Medicago truncatula: one gene and its partners. The main gene of each other region encodes a partner of the protein of the gene in region 2 in a complex. Links are inferred from orthologs where the notes say so. Each region holds a gene or a part of one and is shown on either strand. Other genes may lie near its edges. The genes, in order: RAN GTPase-activating protein 2, WPP domain-interacting tail-anchored protein 1 and RAN GTPase-activating protein 1.

Region 1 (6,920 bases), on a different chromosome or scaffold from region 2:
GTGCCAAAACCATTGTTTTTTGGTCATGGCCGGGGTTTGAATCCCGAATCTTTCATATTTTATGCATTGTCCCAACCAACTGAGCTAAGCTCACAAGGATGATTGTTTAATTACCGTTTCTAACACTGGAATATTTTCTTATTTAAATTTTGAACAATGTTAAAACATCCTCTCAAAAAGATGTTAGTAAAACACGACCTTTGTATTTGCTTTATATATTAAAAGTAAATCGACAACACAATGCGGTGAACACTACAATGTCAGATAGTTTTGCTTGGAGGGTATTGGTACCCAACAAAACTCAAAAATACCAACAAAAAAAAAATCAATTCATTTTTATTGTCTGTATTTTTCAATACATTTTTATTTTTATTGTAAATACAACAATAAGAACTAAGTCTTATTCCCCTGTGTAAGGTCGGCTACATAAATTAAATTATGCCATAATGTTATGACTTTATTGAAAATAATAGAATAAAATTAAACATATTCTAATCAGTTTTGGAGTATCTATTAGAATAGCTCCAATACTCGTCACAGCGATCATGTAAATTGACCAACATAACACTGAATCTGATGATAACCAGGTGTTAATACACTAATGACGACAAGATTACGATATCTAGTCCAGAGATACCCACAATGGTTAGACCACCAAAATTAAAGTATCACCAAGATACGCATAATGATTCAATATTTTGGTGAAATGATGCATCTTGACGGTTACATATGATTCTGTGAATGAATAAACTGATACTAATGTCATAAGAGTTACTTCTGCAGTAGAACCAGTAAGCTACTAACAGTTACAATTCAATCAACTACAAGGTTCTTCATTTTGGATTCCAGTGCATCCTCCACACCACCCTCTTCGTCAGATTCTTCATCACCGTCTTTTCCATCAGGGTCATTTTCATCTAATGGACCAAGCTTGTCCGGAGATTTTTCAAATATAACCATTAACTCTTTAATACCTTCATCAGAAATGAAGTTTCCGTCAATGTCCAGACGTTCAAAATCAACCTTCTGCAACACAGTGAGAGCCAATTGTTGAGCCCCGTCTCTGGTTATTCTGTTGCAACTTAGATCGATTTCCTTTAATTGTGAAAGGCCTTCTAAAGCCTTACTTATCTGGATGGCACCTTCATCTTTGAGTTCATTCTCAGAGAGGTTCAACTTGGCAAGAAACTGCTTGGCTGCAAGGCAGTTTGCTATAGCAGGAGCAGCATCAACTGTAATATTGTTTCCACTCATCTCGAGAACTTCAAGGCGAGGAGCTGATGCCTTAAGAGCATTAGCTATAGCAATTGCTCCTTCGTCTTCCAAGTTCAGGAAGCTCAGGTATATCTCTCTTAACTCTGCATTCTTGGCAAGAGCTTTACTCAGGGAAACCCCACCCTCTACACCTAACATGTTGTCTCGCAAATCAAGCTTCCTCAAATGGGTGCAATCCCCCAAAGCATCAGATAAGGCAACTCCACCTTCATCGCCTATCCTTGTGGAGGAACAACGAAAATCCTCCAAGCAAGAAGAACGCTTCACAACCTCAGCTATAGCACGTGCTCCTTCATCTCCAGTCATATTATTATGAAAATGGAGAACTTTGAGCTTCTCTGTGGAAGGAATCAACTCAGAAACTGCTTGAGCAGCTTCTTCTGAAATTCCATCATTCATAAGATAAAGCTCCTCCAAACAGCTTTGTGATTTCAAGAGAGTTCCAAATGCTCTAACACCTTTCTCACCTAAAGCATTGTCAGAAAGGTTTAAATACTTCAAGACACTGCCTTCTAGAGTAGCCGAGAATATCCTCATGACATCAAGTGCTTCTGCTTCTGGTCTTCCAGCAATAAAATCTGACAGGTCTACTTCTTTCAACTGGTCCTTGAGGGATATGAAAATCGGCTTAGCGACTTCTGCTGCTCCTAATCCAAAACTTCTGTTGCTGAAGCATATTTTAGTGAAAGAATTACCCGGCTCCTTCAGTGGACTCAAAAGTTCTTGAGCCTCCTCTGCTTCAATGAAAGCCCTTTGGCCTTTAGATATATCAAAAACAGATTCACGAGGGACAGCAGCAGCATCAGAAATCACCGCTTCTTTGACACTGTTCTTACTAGGACCCATTTTAAGAAGTTCTAGGAGGAGCTTACTGCATTCTTTGGCATAAAGCTGGACTGCAGAACCTCCATCACCATCTGGCTCTTTCTCGTAATGTAGGTTTGCCGTGGCAAAAGCCTTGTCCTCAATTCTTTTAGCATTTTCTTCAGCCTGTTTCGGGTGCAAGGTTTCATACTTTTGAGTGAAAATGGATTTCGTAGTAAGATTGTTGGTCATCTTCTCCACAAGCGTCTGTCTAGTGTTCTGACTAGGAGGCCATAATTTGATTGAGAACGGCCTGTTCTGCGAATTCAGCTCCATATCAATCAAACCTGCAAAAACGATTCATGTAAAGTTATAAGTCATCATGATTATAAGTCACACACTAAAAATAAGTCACACGCTGAAAAAGTATCTGAAAAAATACGACACATTTTCGAAGCCCTTGCCCACTTTAGATATCAAACTGAAAATGTATCTAAATTCTGAAAGGTTATCAGTCATCATGACTATAAGTAACACACCAAGAATAAGTCACACTGAAAATGTATCTAAAAAAACAAGACACATTTTCGTCACTTGTTAAGTCATCATGATTATAAGTCACATATGTAAAATGCAGCTATGGGAGGTTAGTGTTAAGGACATAATACACAGATAACAAAAATTAATTTACGAATTGGATATAAAAAACTGCTCTGAAAAGTAGCTCAAGAAATAGGAGCAACGACTATAAAAACCCATCAAATAAGTAATTGAAATAATAATTAACAGATATCATACTGTATAGGCTGAATTGATTGCAATAATAAAGTAGGGCCTGTTTTTATTTCTCAATCATAATCCGTTGTTGTTCATGTGATAATCATAGCTAAATGAAACTAAGCAAAACAACAAATAAAATATGATGGTGGAAATTGGCATAGTCACACTTCAAGATGGTGGAAAGATATTATGACCATTGATGATGGTGATGGGATGAATTGGTTTAATACGGAATTGGCTAGGAAAGTTCATAATGGTTTAGATACTTATTTTTGGAAGACTAAGTGGAGGGGTGAGGTGGCTTTTTGTAACAAATATCCAAGGCTCTTTGCTATTTCAAACCTTAAAGATGCTAAGGTAGGGGAGATAGGAGTGTTGTCCGGCACGGGATTAGATTGGCTTTTCACTTGGAGGCGAAGGTTGTTTGTTTGGGAGGAAGACCTTCTTGCAAATTTATTACTCGATCTTCAAGGTTTTGTGACTTCAAATGGGACGGATGAGTGGTGGTGGAAGCTTGAAGAGGATGGTAGGTTTTCCGTGAGTTCTTTGTATAAGAAGCTAGAGGTGGTGGCGGGTATTGAGAATGAGTGGGGGTTAGAGGAGAAACATGTCTTTAGCCAAGTTTGGAAGAGCCCGGCTCCTTCTAAGGTGGTGGCGCTCTCTTGGAGATCTTTGCTTAATCGTATACCGACCCGTTTGAATCTTCTTTATCATCATGCTCTACCTCCAAATTTAAGTTTGCATTGTGTTTTGTGTGATTTGGAGGAGGAATCCACCAACCATTTGTTCTTGCATTGCAATGTAGTTAGCTCGGTTTGGGAGAAAGTCAAAAGGTGGTTTGAGATTGAATTCATTACACCGCCCAATTTGTTCGTTCATTGGCTTTGTTGGAATGCGGGGAGGACGACTAGTAAATTGTTTCAAATGGGTAGGCGTCTTGTTTGGCATACCACCTTGTGGGTTATTTGGAGGGCTAGGAATAACCGTATTTTTAACAATGTGGTAAGTTTAGCGGAGGAATTCTATTGTTAGTTGGATTACTATATTCGTAGTTTAAACTCTGACCATCACAAAAAAAAAAAAAAACATTAATCACATGAGAAATTTAATATTATGATTAACATACTCCCTCCAGAATAAATATAAACAAAAACAAAAGGTAGTTAGAAAATTGATATATGTGGATTAAAATTTTGCCACACACATTAATTTTTCAACCATCATTTTTGTTTATATTAATTCATTTTAAAAAAAGAGTTGATTTATTGTCAAAATAGGTTGGAGTGTCTCTAATATTTATGTCTTTACTTAATTCATTTTCTTTTCTTTTATGTTGTTGATAAATTTACTGAATTGATCGTCTATAAATCATGTATTTTGAATTTCTAGAAATCGTAATGCGATTGTGTGGTCACAATGGAATCATTTAAGTATGTGCTTGTTTGACATTTCACCACTGCTACCGTGTGTTTGAGAGCCTTGGAAATTGATAATAGAGAAGCTACAAATTGTATGATCTCTCGAAACGCACTTTTACAACAAATCCATCCTCAATACAAACATAGGCTTAAAATTGCACCAGAAAGTAGAATGGCTGATTGAAACGATAATTTAAACATACTTTAAACTTTCACCATTCTGGAGAAAGAGTGCACAAGGAGGGAGTTCTAATCAGAATGCTAAAGTGATTGGCCACAAAAATGGATTTGACACTGCATTTTTAAAAAAACTATAAGAAGGCATTTAGCACATGAGTATCAAATGCTTATATTATCTCATTTTCTTTTCTGTTGTTGATAATTTTACTAAGAGCACTGCTAAATACAGAAAAAAATGACCACGAAGGTGTCCCGAATAAATTGTCATGTTAAAAAATTTACAAATTAAATGGTCGTGATGCATTCACGAAACATTTTCTTGGGAGAAACAACATTAGCCTTTTTCTGAATTTATGTCTTTCACAACTCCATACTTACATTGTATATCATCGGTAGACATGACAACAAAACTCGCCCCCGCCAAACCCGATCGTCCCCGTCCCAAATTTAACGGGGAAAACCGATTTAACTAGATGCGGGTGTGAGAGAAATTTAGTTTTCAGTACGTAGGCGGCGCCGGGGGCGGGGGATGCTTACACCCGCCCCACACCCGTTTTTTAAAATTTACTTTATTAAGTTTTATAATCTTATTTCCATAAGCACCAACCAATTTTAATATATCATTACTCTTTAGAAACATATTTACTATAATTATTTTGCTCTTTTAAATTTTTTTTATTAAATATTTAATTATTAATATAGTTATTATTTTTTGTTGTTATGAAAAAATATGCATTTTTTTAAATATTTTATAAAAAATAGAGTTTTTGCGGGTGGAGCGGGGCAGAGAGACCTGTCTCCATTGGGGGCGGGGTTGGGTGTTCAATTTTTACCCGTTATGGTTTGGGGATGGGGGCGGGTGCATGGAAGTGGGGACAGGGACGAGGATGCGTAAACCAGCCCCCGATCCGCCCCATTGTCATGTCTAATCATCGGATAGAACTTGTGTGCTATTGAAATACCAATGTTATATAACATTGGCCAATGATGGCATGCCACATAACCGATGTAAGAAATGACTAAAGAGGAAAGAGAAAAGATATACATGTGAAGTGCTACGTGGCACACCCTCATTGGCCAATGTTATATAACATTGATATCCCAGTGATACACAAGTGTTATCCGTATATCACCGTGACAAAGGCCAAATTTTAGGCTATCATCCAAGCATTGCCATACTTCTTAGCGCTTACATCATTGCCACCCTTCTTAATTTAATTGAGACTTTCAGATAAGAGAAAGTCTTGCACGAACATAAGCTTTTGGACACACCACACATAAAAATATATTTTATTTTATTTTTTTGATAAGAAAAATACATTTTATTTAATTATTTAAAAAATAAATATGATCTAATTATTTTCTCTTTCTCTATCTTTTCTCAATTATGTATGTGTGCCTAAATTTAGTGACCAAACACTTGTGCCTAAACAAGTATTTTCCTTCAGATAAATAAGTGGTGTGGTTCACTTTCCGGTGGCATTTAGTATGGGAAAAGGGAGTTGTTTCCCACCATAGGAAAGTTGATTATGTCCATTGGATTAAATGAGTAACAAATCTTTATCCTACTCTCTCATACACTATATCGTTGTTTTACACTATCTTCCACCATCTCTCTTTCTTGTTTTTTGAATTCAGAATCATAAAATAACTTCTCAAATCCTTCTCCTAAGCTCATTAACACAAGCTTTAAAATTCTCGCCCAAAAGAATTAAGAGTTGCAACTTAATTTTAAAAATCAAAACTGCAACTACAGCGTTGTCTCAGGCGGTGGAGGAAAGACCATTGGTCCTATCCTAAATATATACCTGCTTCTTAGTTTGATTGCCTTTTTTAAGCTTTGACTCGACAAAATCTAAGCATCACACTTTTAGCATGGAGTTACCACTGATTATGGTAGATTAAAAGAATGAATTTCATCATTTTTATTAAACAAAAGCTTAAAAAGAGCTAGAGTGTCTTTGGATAAATAGCCTAATTAAGCACTTATAATATCTGAGTTTTCCAGCAGCAACATGGTGGTGTGTGGTGGTTGCTGTATCTGATATAGTGGTGGTTGTGGTATGAGTGTGTGGGACATGAAAGAGAGATGGTGGAAGATAGTGTAAAACAATAATCTAGTGTTGAGAGAGTAGGATAAGGATTTGTTTCTCATTTAATCTAATGGACATAATCAACTTTCCCATTGTGGGAAACAACTCCCCTTTTCCAGGCTAAACCCCACCTCACTTTCCTATTCGTATACTATTCAAACAACTTTCATCCCCACGAGGCCATGCTTCAGTTCTCATAACCCATGAGAGATTGTAAATAAGAGAAGGTAAAATGAAATAAAAGGATTGTACCAAAAAAATGAAAATAGATACTAAACCTGTGACGAATGAAAAAATTGATGTGATAAAAAAATGATGAAAAGTTGGCTGCTTTCACTGCAGACCAACCTCTTGTCTGGTGGGACGTTTC
Region 2 (7,051 bases):
TTTAGAAACCTTTGACTTAAGATCCTTTATCACATGTTCCATATCTTCAATTGTGTAACACAGCATCTTTTGCTTCTCTTCACTAGCTCCAGCAGACGCTACTGCTTGTTGCAGCTGTAAATCAGTCTCCTTTAGCTGCCTTTCAAGTAACTCTACACTCTCGGATGTGATACCACAGTCTTTTAAAAGAGTCAGCTCCTTGTTGAGTTCTTCATTAGTTTCCGTCAATTTTTTACACTGAACTTCTGCAGCATTAGCTTGATTTTCTGCATTTTTTGCATTTTCTTTCAATTCTACGATAAGGTTATCCATGTCTCTAACTTGAGAACACACAACGTTATACTGTTGCTGATATTCATCGGCAGAGACTTTCACATTCACTAACTGGCATTCAGTTTCTTGTAGCTGCTTCTCAAGTGAACACACTTTGTCACCTAAATTGACTGCTTCAGCTGCGCTGCTTTCGATCTTTTCCAAATTAACGTCTCTACTTTTCAATTGCTCTATAGAAGTTTCCAGCTTATCTCTAAGCTCGGATTCACTTTTTCTTAAACCGACCAAATTGAACTGAGAAAGCTTGAGTTTAGCCAACACTTCATTTGAAATTCCCTTCAGGATCTCACGCGCATTGTCTGCCTCAAAAAATCTTTCCCAAACTTCGATCGCTTCTTCCTCTGTTTGAATTAACTCGTCTTCTAAAGAAAGGATCCTCAGATTTAGCTTTTCTTCAATTTTCTTCGAGTCATTGAAATTCTTCTCGAGATCTATTTCATTTGCCAAAGATTTCTCAAGCATCCTCAAAATGTTTCTATGTTGCTCAGTTGTTTGCATGTTCATCATGTTGTTTACATTCGAAGTTTGATCATCCTCTTGGACATTTCCATCGTCTTCAACATTCCCTGTCGTCATTGAAAATCCAACACATAAAAAAGGACAGCAAATATTTATTAGAAATGAAAATTTAGGGTTTAATTCATATACACTATCAGTGGAAAGATTTTTTACACTGTCAATCAATCATAATAGTTAGAACATTAACATTGTTTATATTTAATCATAAGTTCATAACCACTTACGAAGTCACACTTATGATTGGTTGTGATTTACTAAGAGTCTAGATTTTTCACACTGGGAATGTATCAAAATTAAACTCGCAAAATTATTCAGATAAAAATATTCTCATTGGTCGGTTCAAATGTTCAATATGTTCTTCACAACTCTTTCTTCCTTTTCTTATTTTTTAAAACAAAAAAGAAGAGTTCCATTAATGCAAAATAGGCTTTTGCAATTCATATTGCATAAACATTATACACACAATATCACATGAAAATTAAGGTGGACCCCACATAAAAGAATATACCCTATTCTAACAAGTAAATGAAAAGACAGGAACATGTAACAGATAAAAACAACAAGCAATCAATGTTCAAACAACAACAAAAACAACATATATAAATATGAATCATTAAGATCTTCTACTTACCATTCTCTTCCTTCTTATAAGAAGACAAAGTCCTTTCAAAACTAAAAGATTGTTTCTTAATCTCATAAAACTGCTCCTCGGATTCAACCAACCTCTCTTGCCAATTGTTCAAAGAAGAATCTCTCTCTCTAGAACCAGAAATCTCAGCATGAAGTGTATCCAAAAACAAACCCAAATCTCCAACCTCAGAATCCATTACCCCGCATAACAAATCAAACTCAAAACCCTTTAAAACACAATCCATATCGATGTTTTCTTCATCACAAACTAAACCCTCTAATTCACCTTCCAAAGTTTCCAAATTCATCATAAAAATACTTAAATTTGAAACTTTCTCAGAGAAATATACCACACTCATTTCAAAATCCACAATAACTTCTCCATTATCTGAAACACCTCCAACATCAACATCACTGGTATTATCTTCAACACTTTGAGTTTCCATTGTTCTAATCGTAAAAAAACTTCAACAATTGTTGTTATGGATCCTGGAAGAAAACTCAAAAAGTTAAAACAGAAATGCTTTATCAACAACCAGCTTTTCATACAGCTGGGACACCTGGTTAATCAAGTGTAAAAATGTAGTTAATTCAGCTAAGTAGATGATTAATTCAATTGATCACCTGATCAAAAAGTTGTGGTTAATTCATATAGTTGAATTAACCAGAATTTTAGCCGTGAATTGAAATAACAATCTAGTTAACTAAATTAACCACACTTTTTAACGTGATTAACCAGGTGTCTCCGGGTTTACAAAAGGTGAGTGTCTATGTATAATAACCTGTATCAGTGTCGTGTTGGTGTCGGACACGCCAATGCTACAGTGCTGCAAAAATAATAACTTAAACTAAAATGCAAAAAGGTGAAAGTTTAACTAGTTGAGCCATGAAGTTAAGTAACAATCTAGTCAACTAAATCAACCATACTTTTTAAAGTGATCGACCATGTGTCGCGCGAGTCAGTGTATAAAATATGTATGATAACCTATGAAGCACTAACACATATACGAACACCAGACACCACCGACACCGATCCCAATAAAAAAAATTAAAAATAATAATTAATTGAACGTAGTCACAACCGTCAGACACCAGACACATCTTTGATCAGAAGTGGCGGTAGTGTTGGTGCTACAGAGACATAACTAAACATAAAATGCAATAAAATGAAACTTTAACTATTTGATCCATAAAGTGAATACAGTACAATATACCGGAAACACCAAAAAAATTAATTGAAAAATTTAAAAAAAAAATTAATTGAGATTGCAAAGTTAGAATTAAAATACGAAAAATTGGAGAGAATGGAACAATACCAATTGAAGAATGAAATTGGGTTGATTTTGGATCGGTTGGAGTGATGAATATTTCAGACAACGGAAACAGTTGCGCCTAACTGAAAACTGAATCGGAGATCCCCAACACTTGCAGCTCACTGTGAAACGCAGCGTTTTGCTATGAAGTGGTGTTATTTTTTTAATGTTTGTGACACGTGGATGAAAAAGGGGGTGTGCCGTGTGCCTCTTGTGTTCTCAACGACGTTTCTCTCATCGGTTACAATGACTAATCTCTATCCTAAAATATGTGAGACACGTAAGATAGATTCTTCTATGATCTCTATCAGGAAATATATGTGACGCATAAGGTGTGTTCTCCTCTTCCAACTGAATTCGGGTTACCATCATATTTTTGTTACTTAAGTTTCTCTTGTCGTTTATAATGACTAATCTCCGTCGAAAAATATGTGAGGTATGTAAGGTGAGTTCTCCCAAAATCTCTGACGAAAAACATGTGTGATACAGAAGATGAGTTTTTCCATTTCAACCGGATTTTTTTCTATACACATTAACCAGGAATCGGATTTTTAACCACATGATTAAGAAACTCAAGTCCTTACCGGTTAGACCAATTCATTTCGTAACAAAGGGGGCTTCGGCAAATAAAATGTTTTTTTTATTGAAATTGTGAAAATTTATGTTCGCAACAAATGTTCAGATTTATGAAGTTTGTTTTTCTTTTGCACAAGAGTTCAACTTTCATGGTTATGTTTATGTTTTTTTTTCATAACCCATGAATGAGATCCTAATAATTCAAAACTCCGCTAAAAGATAATTAAAATTGGGTTGAAAATTGTTAATCAAAATTTTAATTCTTGTTAATTCCAATCTATTAACCATTTAAATTCAATCACTGCATTGAAATTATGTTCATAGATATCTCCTTTTCCACTAATGTTTTTTATATTAAGGATTAAATATTTCTTAAAAAAATTTACAAAATTTAGAGTTTTCAAGTTTATAGTTTGTAGGGGTGAAGTACATATGCAAGAAAATTGCTCTTTAGCTTCCATTTTTTCCTCCAAACACCCCAAAAAGACCAAAATAAAATACATTCAACGACACTTAAGTACTTCTCGGGGAAACTTATGAGAAATTTGAGAAGTCTAAAGAGAAATTTCCTAAATGTAAAAGTACAAGGTAAATTTTCCCAAATTCTTAATATAATAGCAGGAGAAATTTGAAGTCTAAAGAGAAATATGATGGTGCAAATAGCAGGATAAATTCGTACAAAATCAAGAGTTTTTCCTTACATATATCCCATTTAGCCTTTATTCAATTGTTGGCCCAATTTCACAATATTTCTCCTGCTATTAGCACCATCATATTTCTCAGCCTTCGTCATTTATGCTCCGTGACAATACGTGATATCGCATAAGTATTTTCCTTTAGGATAAAATTTAGGTGTATTGTCCCCGTGAGATTAGCTCAGTTGATAGGACAATGCATGATTTAGGTGTATTTTTTTTGTCATTTATGTAGGATTCGAATCTCAGACACCACACTTCTCCACATTTAAAATATGTGAGCTTCAGCCACTAAATTACTTGATCTCAAAAAAATTAGGTGTATTTTTGTAAGATTCTTAACTAAAAATACAATATTTATGGTTATAATGAAAGTATGAATTTAAGAAAATCATGACTAATTTAGTTAAGAATTGTACGAAAACCACGTAATGACAAAGGTGTAGCTATGGGCATCAAAATGATAGCTTTAGTTACACCAAATTATTATTTTAATTGTATAAATAAGTCTTTTTTACGTTTAGCTACCCGAATAAAAATATACCTAGCTACTTCATATATGTTTATTTGTAATAAAAAAAAAGAGAGAGATATAAGATATTAAAAAGATTATCACTTGTTTAATAAATTTATTTCATCTTCTTTTGTCACTTTTGGTATCTTAAACAACTATACGAAGAAAACTTTATTAACAATAAAAAATTTAAAGACAAAATTATATAATTTATTCTTCTTATATAGTTAAAATTATTGTGAATTTTTTATCTTATAGATAATTAAATTTTATATATTAATTTAAAAATATATATTTTATTTCGTTATATTCTCTCACTCGTAAAAATTTGGCTTGCATCCTCACTGCCTATCGAAATGTATCTAAATTTTGTCTTTTTTCAACAATGTTGCAAAAATATAGGTATTAGGTAGAGATCAAGCATTAGCTCATAAAAATTGTATTCAAATTAAAATAATTGTGAGATCATAGATATCTGTTAAAAGTGTCCTATACTTGTTAGCATAACTCATAAAAATTATACACATGTTAAACTTATAAAATTTTATCTTCTTAACAAATATCATAAATGTATTTGTTAACATTTTCCTTATTAAAATTCTATAAAAAATAAGACTCCGTAAAGAAGATCAATGTATTGGCCAACAACAACATAATATTTTGATGGAAAATTCTATGGTGAAGTCATGAGAATGACTTTTCTAGTGAAGTTAACACTATAACATCAAAAGTGTTGTGAGTAACACCCCACTGTTTGTACAGTGGCATCAAAAGTTCAGTCTTCATAGTATCATCAATTCATCATATTAACAAAAATACACTTAATTTAATTTTATCCTACTTTGTTTTAAGTGTAACAGCCCACAAAGTGTAATACTTAAGACTATCGCATGATATCAGCAACTATGTTTGCATGTTAAAGATGCCAACGATAAAATAGTACATGTAAGTCTAAGATGTTGCAAGCATTACTAGATGAATTACTATTGATCATTAATGAGTAATCAAAAATTTAAAAATGAATAAATCATTAAAGATTAAAATTAACTTTTTCAAAAATGTCAGTTTCATAACTGCATTGTAGAAGCTCCCAATATTGATTCCTATAAAGAAAACAACACAATAATGATTGATCTTATTAAACTAGTTTTGCACAGTATCTGATTATTATTAGAGGGAAAACAAACAAACATAACATGCAAGTGGTTACTTTAAAAATCATTACTTATAAATCACCATTATTTTAAGCCCCTGCAATTTCAACCACAAGTTTATAATAAAGAAAATTTGATATCACGGTTCACCACATATATTAGGTGTAGTAATTTCATGGGTAAACCAAAACAATGAGTGTTATTGGCTGGTCGTGATTCATCAAGTGTTTAGATATGTCAGCAAATGCTGACTAAGATTGTAACAATATATTTTCAAAACATTTTCATAGAAAATTAATTTAAGTTTGATGCAATTGTGAGGAGAAAAAGAAGCATAAAAATTTAGGAAACCTATCACTAAACATAATACAAGATAAAGAAAAAAAAAAACATACGGCTCAATTTTGGAGGTTAGCTATACCTACCTAATTTAGGACATGTACATTTGAAAGAAAATGATTTTTATGATACAAGATAGTTATTGTAAGTTTATATTATCATATATCTTTAGGTATGTGAATGAAGTTATATGTGGATCGAACTCATTGGGTCACAAACGTCACAATGTGCCTAAAGGAAGAATTTTATACACTCACATTCTTTCTAGGACATGAGTCGCAAACCTTTTAAAAAATAAGCATTGATATTTTTATTTTTGTTTCAAAAATTAAAAACATATTATGATGATATTTACTTGTTAACTATTTTTTTTATTTAACATTTTTTAAAACAATGATTAGTTGTTTACCATGATTTGTATGTATAATATTTTTGTTACTTTGCTATTGAAAATTTATACGAGACAAAGTGTCGAGCTTACAAAGTGGACATACTACTCTCTATTTTTCATTTACAAAGTTAAGGAAATTCCGTTAGAGTCTAGGATAGAAAAATGAATGTTGAACAATATATAAATAAAATGAGTAATATAGGTTGTTTACCATGATTTGTATTTATAAAATAAATGTGTTACATTGTTGAAAATTTATACAAGACAAAGTGTTAGGCCTACAAAGTTATTGAAAATTTACATGAGACAAAGTGTTAGACCTACAAAGTAGACGTACTACTCTCTAATCGTCCATTTATAAAGTTAAGGAAATCCAGTTAGGTGGTGGATAGAAAAATAAATGTTGAACAATATATAAATAAGATGACTCATAAAATATGATGCTAAATTCTACTTTTACAATTGTTTTTGGTCAATTAAATTATCGTCGAGACTCTTCTTATAACCCGACAATTAGGTAGCTACTATTATGCCAACATGTCGATGATTTTAACGATAAGAGACCATGGCATTTTAAGCAAGTGGAT
Region 3 (7,458 bases), on a different chromosome or scaffold from region 2:
ACATTTACTTTGCTTGCAATTGGTTTATGTTGTTTATAGACTAAGCCTACAATGCACAACATCAAAAGTATGATGCAGTCCTTCAGTAATAATCTGCATATGGAATCAATTGCAAACACGACCAGCAATCAAGTGTAATAACCTGCTTATTGAATCAATTGCAAATATTTAAGCACGAATCAGCAATCAAAGATAATAAATTGCCAGCAAAAGGCACAATAAAGCCCAAAAAATTCTACCATTCATACCATTTGCCTATTTCTTGTCTTGCCAGATATATTAAGAGCATATATCTGGTAAACTTCAATAAGCCAAGTTATGGAATCGAAAATCTAAAATACAAAGATTAAAATGCTAGCTGCTCAGTATAAAAAAAGTATGTCTATTGCAAACATAATTGGCCTACAAATTAATCTGAAGTAGCAATCGCATGACAGAGTCCTATGAATCTTCTTAAATCTCAAGGCCTTTCAGTTTTGACTCCAATTCATCATTATCGGAATTTTCTTCAGCCTCTTCATCAATGTCCTCTCCTTCAGGATCATTCTCATCCAAAGGACCCAGAATGTCAGGTGAGTTTTTAAATATGTCCTTTAACTCGTCAATCCCTTCATCAGAAATGAAGTTAGCATTAACATTCAGCAACTTAAATCCAGGTTTCTGGACAACAGCTTCTGCCAACAGTTTGGCTCCTGACCATGTGATCAAATTTGTACTCAGATCAACTTCACTTAATTGGCCAAGACCTTCCAGCGCCTTACTGATTAAACCTGCACCTTCATCTTTCAATTCATTCTCGGATAAATTTAACTTGGTGAGGAACTGCTTTGATGATATACATTCAGCTACAGAAACAGCAGTTTTAGCAGTAATGTCATTCCCAGCCATATCCAAAATTTCCAGTGACGGTGCAGATTCCTTCAAAGCATTAGCAAGGGCTTCTGCACCATCGTCCTCTAAGTTCAAATAACTGAGGTATATCTCTGTAAGATCAGCAAATACAGGTATAACTTTACTTAGAGCAACTCCAGCTTCCACACCAAACATGTTGTCACGCAAATCAAGCTTCTTCAAATGCGTGCAAGCCCCAAGCGCTTCAGCAAGAGCAACACCACCTTCAGCGCCTACTCTGGTAGATGAACACCGAAAATCTTCCAAAGCTGGGGAACGTTTCATAACATCAGCTATTGCAAATGCTCCTTCATCTCCAGTCATGTTATTATGGAAATGAAGAACCTTAAGCTTCTCAGTGGAAGGGATCAATTCAGCAACTGCTTTTGCAGCTTCCTCTGATATACCATCATTCATCAAATAAAGCTCCTCCAAGTCATTTTGTGATTTAAGGAGTGCCCGGAATGCTCTAACCCCCTTTTCGCCCATGGCATTATTTGACAGGTTAAGATGTCTCAACACAGCTCCTTCTAGTGCAGAAGAAAATATATTCATCACTTCAATAGCTTCTGCTTCTGGTCTCCCAGCAATAAAATCTGACAGATCTACCTCTTTCAGTTGATCTTTAATTGATATTAGCATGGGTTCAACGACATGAGCAGCATCCAAACCAAAACTTCTATTACTGAAACATATATTTGTAAAAGAGTTTGGTCCCATCAATGGTTTTAGAAGCTCTGAAGCTTCCTCCCCATCAATGAAAGCTCTGCGACCCCCAGAAATGTCAAAAACAGTTTCAACAGCAGCATCACCCTTTTCAGATATCAACTCCCCATTCTCCTCCTTCCCTCTTGGTCCTCTTTTCAAAACCTCCAACATAAGCTTACTCGATTCCTTGGCATAAATTTGCACAGCAGAACTCCCATCACCATCGGGCTCCTTTTCAAAGTGTTGGGTCGCAGTCACAAAAGCTGCATCCTCAATTTCCTTTGCATCCTTCTCAGCCTCATCTTTGTTAAGAAGTCCATACTTTCTAGAGAAAATGGACGGAGTCGTCAAGTTCCTGACCATCCGTCCAACCAACATCGACCTAGTACTCTGACTTGGAGGCCACAACTTGATTGAAAGTGTTCGGTGTTGGTACGACGGTACGGTAGAATCCATATCAACAGAACCTAGAAACAAGTATAGCAACAAATTTAAAAGTTTTCTGAATCATAATCTTCACTAGTGCCTATAAAACAACAGAAGACATAAAACTACTATCTAAAATTCATTAATTTGCTTTCTTCTTCAATAATAACTACAGTATAAAATCAAAACCAAAGAACCACAATATGCATACATAGTGATGTATTTTAACAGCACTAGAGTTATAATGACTACATATTTCAGTAACCCCACGGATTAATCATTCCTTGGGACCGAATACGAAGTTTTCAAAAATGAAAATGACTACAACTTTTAAATAAACCCTAAAAAAATTAATTTGTACAAATCAATAACTACCAAGGTTTCAAAAAAAGGACCGGTGCCGGGATTGCGGCCGTTACAAAACGGTATCAGCAGCCACCGTGACCGTTTTTGGATCTTTTCACGCCGAGAACAAAAATCACAGGAAATCGCCGTTACGGACTCCGTTACAGACTTGAAAATTCAGAAATTTGAACAGGAGAAAAGGAATCGAATCTCATATTAAAAAGGAATCTGAATCTTATCGATAACAAGCAGAGAAGAGAAAGAAAAGAGGGGAATAGATCTAGTACCTGAGTGAGAAATGAGAACGCAGAAACCCTAGAAAAGATAAAGTGCAGTAGCAGCAGAGAGAAAACGAAAAAGAAGATTTTTGAAATGATGATTAAAATTAGTTGGAGCCTTTTTATGCTGGAGCGGGGAAAAATAAAAATAAAAATTAAATTTAATGATTTTAATGTTTGAAAATTGAAAAATATGATAAAGATATTTGGATAGGGTAAAGCGTGCGTGGAAAAACTGGAGGGAAATGATTGAAAATGAAAAAAATGTGATGGATGGATCAAAATCAAAATCTCAATCGAATCCAGCTTTTTTTAAACGCCACCATTGAAATTGAAATCGAAATCCCAAAGCGTAGATTTTCCGATTCCGACAAAATGATGGTTTTAGCCTGTATACATCTGAATTTCTTCATGCATGACGTCACAAACCCTAATTGTGGTTTTATTTGGGCCTATACTTGGGCTTTGGAAAATCTTTGACTGGACTAGCTTATTATGCTGACAAATGCTGAAAAACATTTCTCTTTCCCCCTATATCTCTTAGAATCCCTAAATACACACATTCGGTTCTTTTTAAAAGAAATATACATCCGATTGTTTTTTTTTTTTATGAAGGAATACACATTTGATTGTAATCTACTAGGATTTTTTTTGTAAAAAAAAAATACTAGATGTATGTTTATTTTGGAAGTTATCTCCTATACGCGTGTTTGGCAGAAAGAAAAAAATAAAACACATCTGGTATATAACTATCATGTGTATAAATGGGCCTCAAAAGAAATGTTAAAAACTGAATTATGAAAATTTAACTTCATACCCCATTAATCCACTCAAAACAAATTATTTACCAAAAATATCCTTTTAGTTTAACAAATATAAAGATTTTTTTTTTCAAAAAACACGTATCTTCTAAATTGACCAAAGATCCCAAAAGAAAGAGCAAGTTTTTAAATTTTTCCTAAAGTTTTGCTTTTTATAAGGTTTGTTTGAATATTTAAATTGGATATTTGTTTTCAAAACTTTTTGGTTTCAAACAAAAATTTTGGCTTGAATATTCAAACCAAATCTTTAAAATTTCAAAACATTTTCCCTTGCATATCCTAAAAGAATGGTATTTGACGTTTTTGAATTATAAAATATGAATTGTATTTATCCATTTTTTATCATATTCAACTCAATTTATTAAAATGTTATAATTTACAGTGGCATACTTTAAAATACACAACATGATTTAAAAAATATTTTTAAACTTTTTTTCAAAACCCTAGCTTCTTTTTTCTCTGCCCTCTCTCTACACAAAACTTACTGCCGCCGCCCAAAAATTCAATATATATTCTTGAGATGTAGAGTCCGTTTATGGTGGTGCGACGAGCGGCTTGAGCCCTCCGCACCACCTACCTCCAGATCTGTCGATGGTCCTAAACTGCAATTTTGACGGTGGACCTCTGGTGGAGTTGTGAATTGTGTTACGGCTCTGTTTCTCTGGCCGTTCAACACTGATTGCTTGAGTTTGTCTTTTGGTATGTGGTGGTTGATACCAGATCCGTTTTCTCTCTTGACGGTGGGTGAAGGTTCTGTTTGCTCGCAACGTAGGTGGTGATAGGTCGGTCATAAAAGTTGTGAGGCATATGATATGTTATGGTTTAGATGGATTTTTGGCTGTGTTGGTTTATGGTGCTTCGTGGTGGTTTCCGCGGTGGTGATGATACTGAGTCTTTTGTGGAGGTGCTTGTGGTGGTTTTTCGTGGTGCTCGTGGTGGTTTTTGTGGTGATGCTTGTGGTGGTTGGTCGTGGTTATGTTTTTTGAGGGTTTTCTTCTATGAGTTCGTTGTTGATGTGGTTTTCAAATACAAGGGTGTTTTTGATAGATTTGATGGTTATTTTTACGCTTGGTGTTGGAACCCTATAGATTGTATCCATCGTCGGTAGGAAGGGGAGGAGTAATGGAGGTTGCTACTGTTTTGTTTTGTAGCGGTTTTTGTTGTTGTTTTGTTGCTGTTGTGGTGTGTTTCTGGGCTGATAGGGTGCTGACAACATCTGGCTTTGTGTTTGTTTTGCATCAGGCCTGCTATTTTTTTTGTTTTGTAAGGGATTAAGTAGAGCTGTCAAAACGGGCGCCCCGGCCCGTTTAAGCCCGGCCCGACCGGGTCAAGGGCTTTTAAGGGTCGGGCTAAAAAGTCCAGTTTGAATATGGACTGGAAAAGTAGAACCCGAGCCCGGCCCTTTACGGGCTAACGGGCCAGCCCAAGCCCGTTTTTTTTTTCTTTCTTTTATTTCATTCTGAACATAATAACATTTTTTTAGTTTTTTTTTTTAAAAAGCAAGGGCGATCAGACTCTCATTTTGAAGTAAAATGGACCTTTGTTCACTGCCTAGAATGAAAACCCATTCTAAGCAAAGTGCTTGTCCGTCTAAGCAACAAAAGTAATGTTGTAATTTTCGTTTTGTCATGAAAATACACCATTTCCTTAATATAAGAGCAGCATGATGCATTTCAGAAAACAAATAAATGTAGAAACTACTTTTACCAATATATCTGAAATGAAATTCCTACATTATGCTTTGATCACCTTTTGTCTTGTGAAAATGCTTGTTCCACAGACTACAAACAATCGAATTGAAAATGCTTGCAGTCACCATGTAACATACACAGACCAACAAAAAAATAATAAAAAGTAACCCACTTGAATTTTTGGCGGGCTGCCCGAGGCCCGAACGGGTTACGGGCTTTTACGGACCGGGCTAAAAAGCCCTAGAAAAATTCGGGCTCCAATTTTTCGGCCCAGGCCCTGCGTTTTATTCGGGATTTCGGGCCGGCCCATACGGCCCGCCCCATTTTGACAGCTCTAGGATTGAGGATTGGCTCTATTGTCTTTAAGCTCAATCTGTTTCTGCTTTTTATGCATGGCTAGTTTATTTTTGGGGTTGTTAGTAATTTGGAGGTGTTCTGCCTATACAAGACGCATTCTTTAAAGCTAAATTTCTAATACAATAAAATAGATGGAGAATGAGTGAAAAAGGTGTGTCATCCCTCTCGCATGCCCTCCGAAAATTTTGGGAACAGAAGATTACGAGGCAGTGAAGGTGGAATCTTATATGTACAATCTCATATCCAAATCGATGAGGAATACAATATGGAGAGGATCAACCACCTTTTGACCATTCATACTAACCCTACAATAAGGCATAAATGTCTTTGTTGATCTTGTTTGTAAAAGGTCAATTGTGAAATTATGACTTCGTAACCATCCCAAAAGAAAACAGAGAAAAAAAAGAGAAGAATAAGGAATATGAGTTTTAAAATGAAGAGTACAAAAGAAAGGAATGGTATTTGAGGGCAAAGTTCAACAAATATTGTTTTTACAGTCAATTCAAACGTGTAATACAATCAATAAAACGTGTATAACACCGCACATTGACCCAAAAACCGTCAGACCTTCCAAATGTCACTGACGAAACCACTTTCCAAATTCTAGAATGTTTCAGATTATATGATCCAAATATATGTCCAATATTAGTTCATATTATATAATCCAAAATTGTCCAGATTATGTTAAATCTTGTGATTTGGATGGTTTGACACATTTCAAATTGTATAATCTAAATTAGTCAAATACATGATTTTTTGTGGTCCACTTTGCACCAAAAGTTTTCATGACCTATGACACATATGGACTTCTATAAATTGGCGTGTTTGGTTCATTTGAAAACCACACGACACAACAATGAACACTTATCAAATAAATATGAACACTAAACTAGCTGTAGAGTTTACTATAGCGGAGAAACTGAATCTACTTATGGTCCACATTGATATCACACTGTGTGACTTTAAAGGTCAGCTAGACCAAATTAACAGTCTCAACCACAAAGATACAAGAACGGTAGATAGTGTTGAGTATCGTCGTCTGTCAATCGATTCAGATGAGTGTGTTCATTTCACTTAGATGAATCTTCAGAACGATGACGAGGTGAGTACCATGTTCTTTATGTTTGGTCAGTATGGTTCAAAGAGACTGATCAAGTTTCAAGTTTCATTTATTAGATCTTTTTCTTGATATTCAATCGATGACCTACAGAGAAATCAAGGAATGCATGGATATACCATATGAATATTTTAGTTGGTTGTTCCATGATGTTGTTTATATTTAAGTATTATGTTTTACTTTTTTGTATTTTGTTATTGAATTATCTTGTTGAAATTATGTAGTTGAAATTGTTATGTTTAATTTATGCTGTTGTTGTAGAATTTGATGGCAGATTTACCTATTTATTATGTTCTAAACACGGTTTGAATTATATAATCTGAAACAAATCAAACCCCCAAATCACAATTTTTAACACAATTTATGCACGTTTCAGATTATATATTCTGAACCAATACTAGACATGATTTTAGATTATATAATCCAAAATATTCTAGATTTTGAATTGTGATCTTACAAGCAAAGTTTGAGCGATTTGTGCTTCTTTTTTGACAAGTTTGGTTCATTTTACACATTTTGTTTGACTATAGTTACAATATAGAAAGGTGTTATGGGTATAAATAATCTTGCATTCTTCTTTATTTTCATTGCAATTTCCCTCTTCTTTTCTTTTTCTCTTTTCTTTCTTACTTTTCCTTTCATGACGAATATGATGTCATGGTCGCTGTTGATCAAAAACTTCGATCATTTGTGGGATTTTTGTAGGATGGTCAACATAGACGTTTGGTTATTTATTTTTGATTTTTCTATAGGTCTCAGATTATATAATTTGAAATAACACAAATACACTACGAATTATACAATATGAACGGGACTGAAATGAA

What was found.
Region 1: WPP domain-interacting tail-anchored protein 1 (region 2) and RAN GTPase-activating protein 2 share a complex: the UniProt entries of both Arabidopsis thaliana proteins name them as parts of the ran complex. The link is inferred for Medicago truncatula from reciprocal best matches to the Arabidopsis thaliana genes WIT1 and RANGAP2.
Region 3: WPP domain-interacting tail-anchored protein 1 (region 2) and RAN GTPase-activating protein 1 share a complex: the UniProt entries of both Arabidopsis thaliana proteins name them as parts of the ran complex. The link is inferred for Medicago truncatula from reciprocal best matches to the Arabidopsis thaliana genes WIT1 and RANGAP1.

The regions. Positions count from the first base shown.
Region 1 is NC_053042.1:51,000,388-51,007,307, reverse strand, and holds RAN GTPase-activating protein 2, read right to left. Parts: upstream 2,599-6,920; coding exon 2,544-2,598; intron 2,427-2,543; coding exon 814-2,426; 3' UTR 547-813; downstream 1-546. UniProt on the Arabidopsis thaliana protein: GTPase activator for the nuclear Ras-related regulatory protein Ran, converting it to the putatively inactive GDP-bound state.
Region 2 is NC_053048.1:5,940,530-5,947,580, reverse strand, and holds the start of WPP domain-interacting tail-anchored protein 1, read right to left. Parts: upstream 3,026-7,051; 5' UTR 2,799-3,025; intron 2,310-2,798; 5' UTR 2,265-2,309; intron 1,972-2,264; 5' UTR 1,929-1,971; coding exon 1,484-1,928; intron 900-1,483; coding exon 1-899. UniProt on the Arabidopsis thaliana protein: Together with WIT2, required for the nuclear envelope docking of RANGAP proteins in root tips.
Region 3 is NC_053042.1:35,966,272-35,973,729, reverse strand, and holds RAN GTPase-activating protein 1, read right to left. Parts: upstream 3,007-7,458; 5' UTR 2,658-3,006; intron 2,067-2,657; 5' UTR 2,056-2,066; coding exon 454-2,055; 3' UTR 134-453; downstream 1-133. UniProt on the Arabidopsis thaliana protein: GTPase activator for the nuclear Ras-related regulatory protein Ran, converting it to the putatively inactive GDP-bound state. Plays a role in spatial signaling during cell division.